Linked DNA regions of Arabidopsis thaliana. The protein of the gene in region 1 interacts with the protein of each later gene in a biochemical or structural test. Each region holds a gene or a part of one and is shown on either strand. Other genes may lie near its edges.

Region 1 (5,187 bases):
CCAATCCAAAGACTGAGATGATGAGTCGTCGTCGTCGTCGTTGTTATTAAGAGCAGCGGCGGCGGATGCGGAAGTAGCAGCAGCAGTAGCAGCAAGCAATACGTTCCGATCAACCTTCTTCTCTGCTCTCTTCTTCTTCTTTATCGTTTTGATTGGTCCCATCTAAAACCAAAAACTGTCAAAGAGATTTTCCTGCGTTTTGGGTTTGGAGCTTAAAGCATGCAATAGAGAAGAGGATTAAAGTTCAAAGAAGAGAGATTTGGGGTAATGTGATTTGATTTCGACTTTCAAAAAAAAAAAAAACGTGGCCATTGCTTCTTTTTTTTTGCCACTTGTTTTGATGATTAATTGCAAAAGAAGGTTTTCGAAATTAAAGATCCTTTGGACCAACTTTAATTATCTAGGTTCGGATTGGTAACAGGCATAATTGGATTGCTTATCTTCTAATTGTTATAGTCCGCAATAGGCATATATTTGATCTACTCTTTAATCTATTGGATTCTCAGTCTTTTCTAATGTCAAGAATCTTCGTTTGTTACCTTTTATCACTCTGTTTGTGCCGACATTTTTAAGATCATGGTCGGAGAACAACATATGAAGAGAAGAGAGAATTGGAGCGTCAAGAAATAATAATCCAATATATTAAGATACTTTTGGTTTTTAGACTTTAGAGCATTCTATGAAAGATCATAAAACAATACAGAATAAAATTTATGGTTTTCTAAAAGAGGACCAAAACTCCACTCTTCTACCAAGTGGTCCACGTCCTTCCATATTCCTCCAATGATTCAAATGTAAAGTTTAAGAACAAAATGTATAAGCTGTCTTTGTAGAGCTTGTGGGATCATCAGCCTTGTTTTTGCAGCTTGTTAGGGCAAGCTGAAGAAAGATGACCTTTTTCTCCGCACTCGTAACAGTTTCTCTTTTTGATCTTACCAGTGCTAACCGCAGATGTTAAGCTTGCATCATTAGCTCCATTTGTCACATCAATGGATATCGGAACAGTAGCATAGCTCTCATCCATGAACGAACCACCATTGTTTTCAGTGTCTCTTGTTTTCTTTTGAAGACTATAGCTTGTTACCTGAGTCGGTCCTGCCTCAACAGTTTGGTGATCCAGCGTTGAGTTTGTGTGAGAAGTGTTTTGAAGCTTTATGGGACAGGCTGTAGAAAGATGACCCTTTTCTCCACACTCATAACAGTTCCTCCTTTTGACCTTACCAGTGCCAACAGCAGATGCTGAGTATCCTCCATTATAAGTTTCATTTGTAGAAGCGTATGTCTCATTCATGTAGTAAGAATCACCACTATTCTTTGGAAGACCATAGCTTTGCATAGCCGGTCTACCATCAACAGTCTCTTGACCCAGCTTTGAGTTTGCCTGATCATCAGCCTTTTGAAGCTTTATGGGACAGGCTGTAGAAAGATGACCCTTTTCTCCACACTCATAACAGACCCTCCTTTTGACCTTACTGCTGCTAACCGTAGTTGCAAAGTAGTTTCCGTCATCAACTTCGCTACGCCCAGCTAAAGCCGGTACTGGATCAGCAGCAGCATAAGTATCTTCCATGTTGTACGAACCAGCATTGTTCGTTTCACCAGGTGTATGATCAGTAGCTGGTCTGTCTTTAAGTGCACAACATATCTTGACAGGTCTTCCGCAAATAACCTGCTGATCCAGCTTCAGCGCAATCGCCACAGACACACTATCCTTGAAATCCACATGCGCATACCCTTTAAACTCTCCTGTTTCTTTGTTTTTACCCAACCGCACAGAGTTTATTACGCAGTCAGAGAAGAGCTTCCGTATGTCACGCTCTGTTGTGTCCCAGGCTAAATTCCCAATGTATACCCTGTTATAGCCATCCACCATTTCTGGAGCGAAACCAGAAGATGTTTTCCTTCTTGGAATGGAAGGGGTGGTGGTTTTCACGTATTGCTGGATTGTCAAATATCGATCACCCCTAGTAGTAAAGTAAAGAAAAATTACTCAACCAATATCAAATGTGACCAAGGAAAGTCTTAAAATATTTGAGTCACAGCTATAGATTACTTACATAGCAGCTCTATCAAAAGCCAAAGCACGTTTTGCGCCATCTTCAGTCTGTATAAATGAAACGAAAAAAAATATCAACACAGTGTATGACACAGTCCATTTAACCAGTCTCTAATCTCCAGCCACCAAGGCAAAAAACTAACTCTAAAGTCTAATCCCAAAACAACAACGATCTATGTTCTTACAAAAACAAAAGGCTGCATCATAACACAGCAACGTTACATGGAAAAACTTACGTCAAAAGTGATGAAGGCAATACCACTGAAAGCCCCATCTTCAGGACGCATCTTGCAATCAACTTTAATGATGACTCCACAGCTTCTAAAGTAGCTACGAATCTCATCTTCTGTACTCTGATAAGGAATACCCCCAACATATAACTTGTTAGGAACAACCCCATCTTCTTCTTTACTGGAAAACAAAACACCAAGTCGATTAATTTACATAAAATTGAAACTAACAGAGCTTTAAAATGAAGTCGGTTAAAACAAACTTACTTGTCTGTATTAACTTCAATCTCTTCTACCTTCACCTTCTCTTCTACATTGCCTTCCTCAGCCTTCTTTGGCGTTTTGTTTACCTTTCTCTTCTTCTTCTTCTTCTTATTTTTCTTCTTCTGGGGTTTTTGCTCTTCCTTAGTTCCTTCATCTCCTTCTAACTCGTCGACTTCCACAGCATCGTCTCTCTTTCTCTTCTTTTTAATCTTCGTATCAGTCTTCTCGCTTGACCCACCATTCCCAACTTCATTCTCTCTGATTTCGTCGTCTTCTCTAGCGAAAGTTTCGCAATTTCTTCGTTTCTCTCTCTTCGACAATCTGGGTTTGTGGCTAGATGAATCAAGGAGCAATTTCAGAGACTGAGATTGTGGATTTGTTTCGGATACAGAGACAGATAGTGATTCAGCCAAATCTTGTCGAATCCTCTGCTTCAGCTTCTTGTTCGACAGCACCATCTTCTTCACTGAGACCGCCAAAAACAAAAAACATAAAACCCTAATTGGATGATTTTGATACCACCTACATATGGGCCGGGCTTCAGATTTATTATGGGCTTTTCATAAAACGTCTACTACTGTAACAAAGAGCCCCAAAATGTTTAACTGTTCATCCTAATTTGTATATTTATGTAAAACACCCATTGAAACTGTGCGTTTTGGTTACATTTTTGTTATCTTGCAAAGATTTATTATTTTGAAGGGCCATTTTTGCAAATTAGTGTTTTTTTTGTCTCTCTGACATTTTTAAAAGGTCAGGAAGTTTCAAAAGTGGATAAACTGAGAAAGAAGTGAATCCATAAGAGAAGACAACAAAAGATCTATCTCTATACCACATATTACACTTTTTCTCCAATGGCTTCTCTGAAGCTTTCACCTTCTTCTCCAATCTCCATTTCTAAGGTTGGTGTGATTCCTTCCTCTAAGAAAGGACTTTCATTTCTTGTAAAAGCAGAGCACCATTCCTCGTCTTCTTCTTCTCATCTTCAAGGTTTGTCTTTTCTTACGTGTTTCCGATTCAAATTACTCTCTATATTCTGCTTCTCTGAGGAAAAAACGAATCTTTCTTCAAACCCTTTTATAAAGTTTGTGTTTTTATTTCGTTTTTTTCAGATAAATGTCAGAGACGTCTGATTGTAACATTTGGTGTTGTTGCTCCTTGGATCTCATTGCTTAGTAGAGCTCCATTATCATGTAAGTACCCTTTTTGTTTGTCACTAATTTTGCAATTTTTGTGTGTAATTTTGAAATGTTTGATATGGCTCAGTTGCTGCAGAAAGCAAAAAAGGATTCCTTGCTGTCTCTGACAATAAAGATGCTTATGCGTTTCTCTATCCATTTGGTTGGCAGGTATCAATTTTGTGATCTTCTTTGCCCACTTTTTAACAATTACAATGTCTTGTCTCATTGTTTTGAATGTGTGTTTAGGAAGTTGTGATTGAAGGTCAAGATAAGGTATACAAAGATGTGATTGAGCCTTTAGAAAGTGTTAGTGTGAATTTGGTCCCAACTAGCAAACAGACTATTAAAGAATTTGGCCCTCCCAAGCAGGTAATGTTCTTCTCTTTTGTTTGGTTGTTGTTTTTCACTCTCTTTAATGATTGAACTTGGTTTGGTTACAGATAGCTGAAACACTGATAAAGAAAGTTTTGGCACCTCCAAATCAGAAAACAACCCTTATTGATGCATCAGAGGTTTGCTCCTTTTGATAGCTTTTTTCGACTAATTGAGTGGAGGCTCTTGAATGTAATAATAAGAGAGAGAGAGAGGGTGGTTTTGATTGTTTGGTTTTTGTTTCGAGTGCTGCAGCATGATGTCGATGGGAAGACTTATTATCAGTTTGAGTTCACTGTTCAAGCTAGAAACTACACTCGCCATGCTCTGGGTACCATCACGGTTTTCAACGGTATATACATCCCCATGAATTCTCACATTCATATCTAATACACACTGACTGCAGTATCCAATGCTCATCGAGAAATGGCGTTTTGCTGTGCAGGAAACTTCTACACACTGACGACGGGAGCGAATGAAAGGAGGTGGGAGAAGATGAAAGATAGGCTTCACACTGTGGTAGATTCCTTCAAGATCACTGTTTGAAAATACTGTAATCAAGTTTGCTTTGGTTGTCTCTTGTTTTGCCCATTTCTTGTATTTTTGTCCATTCTTCTTCTCTCTTTCCCTTAACAATATTCTTTTCCTGTAAGAGAGATTCAATAACTCTTGACTTGCCTCCTTACCTCTCTCTCTGCTTTTAACCTAACTTCATCTTGTTTGGTCAATTTGATCTCTAGTCATAGTTTTGTAGCTTCAGCTACTAACCAGAAAGGGCTTATAAAGTGTCATGTTACAGCTACGAGAAAGTCAGTAATCGAAATGCTCTGTCAAGAATTAGCTCACCAGTAATATATAAAAAATATGCAAACTCGAAGTCGCTGTGTCCGTTAGCAGAACCAGCTCTTGTGTTACGGTAGGTGACGGCACAGTACACTGCAACGGCAACACAAATTATTATAAAAAATCTCACCAAAATTATTGGAAAATAATTAAAAGAAAAAAAAGGCGGAAGAAAATTATTTCTTCTTCTACGATTCTTCTTCTTCTTCTTCCTCTCTACAAACTTAGCAACAGATCCAGC
Region 2 (4,615 bases), on another chromosome or scaffold:
TTCATCTGAGAGCAAAGACAAGCTTGATGAGTCTGATGTACCTTTGTCAGTAGGTCTAAAGAAACGGACTTACTCTTTGGTTGAACCTCACAATCAAACTAGAGCTTTAGCTGCTTATCCTCCAAGGTTTCGTGAAGAAGTGAAAGAAGAAGAAGAAGATAGAGAGAGTGTTGCTTCTTCTGTTGGTAGTTGTTGCATGGATACTGATGGTCTCAGTGCTGTTTCATTCAATCCCATTGAAACCGGTAACTCTAGTGACACAGAGTCATCGTCTTGTGGCTACGGGAAGGTCAAGAAGTTGGTGGTTCCAAGAAAAGGCTCAGAGGCTGCTGATGTTCATAGGTTAGAGCTGGATGCATACCGAAGCAGTATCGAGAGATTGCACGCATCCGGACCAATCATAACATGGGAACAAGAAACGTGGATTACAAATCTCCGTCTCAAATTGAACATTTCGAATGAGGAACATCTGATGCAGATAAGAAACCTTATCTCTGACGATAACAGTACTATATACAGATAGCAGCAGCAGCAGCATTGAGAACTACAGTTTGTGTTACATAGAATAAAAACTGAGTGTAGATTGTACAAATGTCATTTTATTTTTCATTCAGGTTTTTTGATTTAATTCCAAACTTGTGAAAGAAAATTTGATCATCTTTACTCTTTTATCTTTGCGTTGGACTTGAGGAAGACTAGCAATGTATATATGATTCATGCCATGGCCTAAAAGCTATACATAAAAAAGGAGATGAGAAGATTTGTGTACGTAATTGAAACACTAGTGATTAAACTAACAATTTCAAGTAGCACAGCTAAATATTCTCCTTTTATGTTTGATTCATATGACCAAGTAGCTACAATAGTTACAAAATCTAAAATGTTGCAACTGGCAAAGTAAAAGAAAAGTGGGTAGAATCAAAGTTTTCCAATAACCGCATATTCTTTAAGGCAGAAAAAACTTGACTGCAAATTCTCTTTGGGTCCCAAAAAACAGAACAATCCAAATAATTCCCCCAATTTTGGTTCTAAAATAGACCGATTGATTTATATGTAACATCAACTCAAAAAACATCATAGAGGAAAACCACAGCAGACATTTTTGGAAGATTTTACTCAAATGCGTCATCATCATCATCGGGGAGAGGCTGAGCTGCAGCAGCTGCAAGATCGGCCTCATTCTGCTGCTGAGCAGCAATGTCAAGGTGAACCTCTGGTGGAGCAAGAGCTGGTGACTCCACAAAGTGAAGGTTCTGGTCTCCAGCCAGTTTCCTAGCAAGGTACAAGAAAGGCTTCTCGAAGTTGTAGTTGCTCTTTGCTGATATCTCATAGTACTGCAGATTCTTCTTCCTGTGGAATGTGACTTGCTTTGCCTTCACTTGCCTGTTCTTCACATCGACTTTGTTTCCACACAGAACAATCGGGATGTTTTCACACACCCTGCAAAGATCACGATGCCATGTCGGAACATTCTTGTATGTGAGCCTTGCTGTGACGTCAAACATTATTATCGCACATTGACCATGGATGCTGCAAGAAAACCGAAGATTAGCAATATATCCAGATGGAATATCAAACAAACCATTATCATTCAAGTCCCAGTCAGCTATTCCTATTGTCCAGGTAACAATAGTTGCAAACATGACATGTGAGATGGTTCTTGAATTTCACAACCTAACCAGCGCTAATCAAAACAATGCAAACTTTAATAGATATTGAGATCTTAACAGATTACTTCAACAACATACGATTCCTATTCCCACCGTCCAGGTAACAAATCGGTTGCCAATTTTACGCACAAACCAACCAGAGCTAATCCAAACTATACACACTCTAGATTGAGTATACACACAAACATATCAATGGAGATATGTATACTTACTAGTATCCATCCCTAAGGCCACCAAATTTCTCTTGTCCAGCAGTATCCCAGCAGTAAAAACGGATCTTTCCGCAGTTTGTGAAGAAATCCAAAGGATGAACCTCCACACCAATAGTAGCTGCAACAAACAAGATTAGGACTCAACATCAGATGATGTTCACAGAAATTGTGCATTCACAAGCATCTTTGCTATACTTACGTTCATACTTCTTCTCAAACTCCCCAGTAAGATGTCTCTTCACAAAGGTCGTTTTCCCTGTACAAAACACCAAGAGCAATCATAGGTTTAGCAAGAACTAATCAAAAACATTGAACCATACTAAAACTGAGCCAATGAAAACAACATTCCGGATCATCTAAGAATCGATATCCCAAAGATCTGCTCAACGAAGGCCTAGTCTGTAAGGTTCTCTTTAAAACCAATCAAACATTGATATTATCAAAAACCAATCGTACAAATCTAATCAGCACATCATCAAAATCTCAAATCCGTCTCTTAAACGAGAATGCTTTCAGATGGGGACAGTGAAAAGACGATCAAATTTCAGAGATCACAAAAAACAATAGGTCAAAAAACACGGCGAAGAATACTGTACCTGTGCCTCCATCACCAACGATGACGAGCTTGAAGCTAGGATAATCTACGGTTTGTTGGTTAGGTAGAGCCTGAACAAGATATCACAACAAAATTCAGTAAAATCCGAAAAAAGAAACATCAACGAAATTAAGCGATCTCGTGAGATCTAAATACTACAAGACGAAGAAATCGGGAAAAGAGAAGAGAATGTTCACCATGTGAGAGGAGAAGCGAAGTCAGACGTTGATGTCGTCGAGGTTTAAGAAGCGATGCGGCGAGAGGGACTAGGGAGAGAGATGGGGTTTTAATAAGGAGAATTTTGGGAGGTTTTGGCTTAGGTTTGACGCTATTTTTTCCACCGTTAGATTCCATCTTTTGGCTCTCCAATATCTACGCAGCTTTCTGCACCGTTGGATCTTTTTTTTTTCAGCTTTAGGTCCTGGTTTTGAGTTTTGACAAAATAAATAATATATTTATTTCCTGTATCGTATGTGAAGTTTTGATTTTATTTGTAGCATAGTTTTTTACTAACAAATCATTTAAATAAGGATTTATTGTCCGTAACGGATAGTTTCAAAATTTCAAGTACTCACTCACATGACATCCATCTAATGATGCCTTTCAAATTTAATGGTAACATATTAATACCAACAATATTTCCAGAAATTAATATACACATCGATAAATTCTTAAGCTCAAACTTGCAGAAATTGGTCTTAGAGCTCACGGTTGAAGAAAATGTCTGGAATCACGGATTGAAATCGGTCGTTGATTTGAGGGAAAGGGTTACTTCATTCTTCAATGCAAGAATGGTTGCCAAACAAAAAGTTATCCGATTATTATTCTACAAGTTCTGGTGCGGATTGATTAAGAAGATCAAGTTTCAAAGAAGAAAAGGAAGAGGATTGCAGAAGAATCTGCAAAGCTAGAGAGATCGGGGAAGGCAAAGAACTTAACCATTGTCAATGCAGGTCAGGTCTCCCAACAAGATCTACTTGCAGCTAATTTTACCCAGGTTTATATGACATCACCTGGTAGCTAAAGAGTGGCATCTGAAATCTAAGAACTGGCAAGTAATAGGAGGTAGAATAAAGTTTTCCAATCAACTAATATTCTTGCGAAGAAACAACTTAGCTTTGGATACCATCAGAAGAACCATCCAAAAATACATACCTAATTTTTGTTATAAGAAAGACCGATTGATTTATATGTAACACCAAAACAACATAGAGAAAACCAAAAGGAACAAGCAAGAGCTTCCCACGGCAGACATTCTAGAAGGATGATTTACTCAAAGATATCATCATCGTCATCGGGGAGGGGTTGAGCTGCAGCCTGTAAGAGCTCGGCCTCGTTCTTCTGCTGATCAGCAATGTCAATGTGAACCTCTGGTGGAGCAAGCGCTGGTGTCTCCACAAAGTGAAGGTTTTGGTCTCCAGCCAGTTTTCTAGCAAGGTACAAGAAAGGCTTCTCAAAGTTGTAGTTGCTCTTTGCTGATATCTCATAGTACTGCAGATTCTTCTTCCTGTGGAATGTAACCTGCTTTGCCTTCACTTGCCTGTTCTTCACATCAACTTTGTTCCCACACAGAACAATCGGGATGTTTTCACACACCCTGCAGAGATCACGGTGCCATGTCGGAACATTCTTGTATGTGAGCCGTGCTGTGACGTCAAACATTATTATAGCACATTGACCATGGATGCTGCAAGAAATTCAAAGATGATTAGCTATACATCCAGATGGAATATCAAAATTAAAATTCAAGTTCTACTCTATTTGTCCAGGTAACAAAATCAGTTGCAAACTATGCATACTTCAAAACATACCAGTCTTATACCCATTGTCCAGGTTAATCGGTTGCCAATTTCAAATCCTAACCAGAGCTAATCCAAACTAAGCACACTCTAGATTGACTCTAGACACTAACCTATCAATGAGAAAGTAAAGGGTCCACACTTACTAGTATCCATCCCTAAGGCCACCAAATTTCTCTTGTCCAGCAGTGTCCCAGCAGTAAAAACGGATCTTGCCACAGTTTGTGAAGAAATCTAATGGATGAACCTCCACACCAATAGTAGCTGCAACAAACAAGATTACGACTCAAAATCAGAATCATTTAAGAGACATGAAGAACAGAAATCTGAACATTCACA

Evidence for each region.
Region 2: the proteins of PHIP1 (region 1) and RAN2 form a complex in vitro, tested with the Arabidopsis thaliana proteins (one study listed by BioGRID).

Annotation. Positions count from the first base shown.
Region 1 is NC_003074.8:20,513,493-20,518,679, reverse strand, and holds PHIP1 (phragmoplastin interacting protein 1), read right to left. Parts: upstream 3,051-5,187; 5' UTR 3,009-3,050; coding exon 2,554-3,008; intron 2,468-2,553; coding exon 2,293-2,467; intron 2,105-2,292; coding exon 2,058-2,104; intron 1,965-2,057; coding exon 848-1,964; 3' UTR 621-847; downstream 1-620. Other genes in the region: AT3G55350 (PIF / Ping-Pong family of plant transposase), read right to left, coding at 1-162; PPL1 (PsbP-like protein 1), read left to right, coding at 3,405-3,540, 3,663-3,743, 3,817-3,899, 3,978-4,100, 4,172-4,243, 4,359-4,455, 4,549-4,649. UniProt on the Arabidopsis thaliana protein: RNA-binding protein which mediates polarized mRNA (e.g. Ran2 transcripts mRNA) transport from the nucleus to the vicinity of the cell plate during cytokinesis and phragmoplast formation.
Region 2 is NC_003076.8:6,760,879-6,765,493, reverse strand, and holds RAN2 (RAS-related GTP-binding nuclear protein 2), read right to left. Parts: upstream 2,926-4,615; 5' UTR 2,678-2,925; coding exon 2,675-2,677; intron 2,549-2,674; coding exon 2,479-2,548; intron 2,139-2,478; coding exon 2,082-2,138; intron 2,001-2,081; coding exon 1,883-2,000; intron 1,531-1,882; coding exon 1,113-1,530; 3' UTR 811-1,112; downstream 1-810. Other genes in the region: AT5G20030 (Plant Tudor-like RNA-binding protein), read left to right, coding at 1-523; RAN-1 (RAS-related nuclear protein-1), read right to left, coding at 3,747-4,164, 4,423-4,540. UniProt on the Arabidopsis thaliana protein: GTP-binding protein involved in nucleocytoplasmic transport. Required for the import of protein into the nucleus and also for RNA export. Involved in chromatin condensation and control of cell cycle.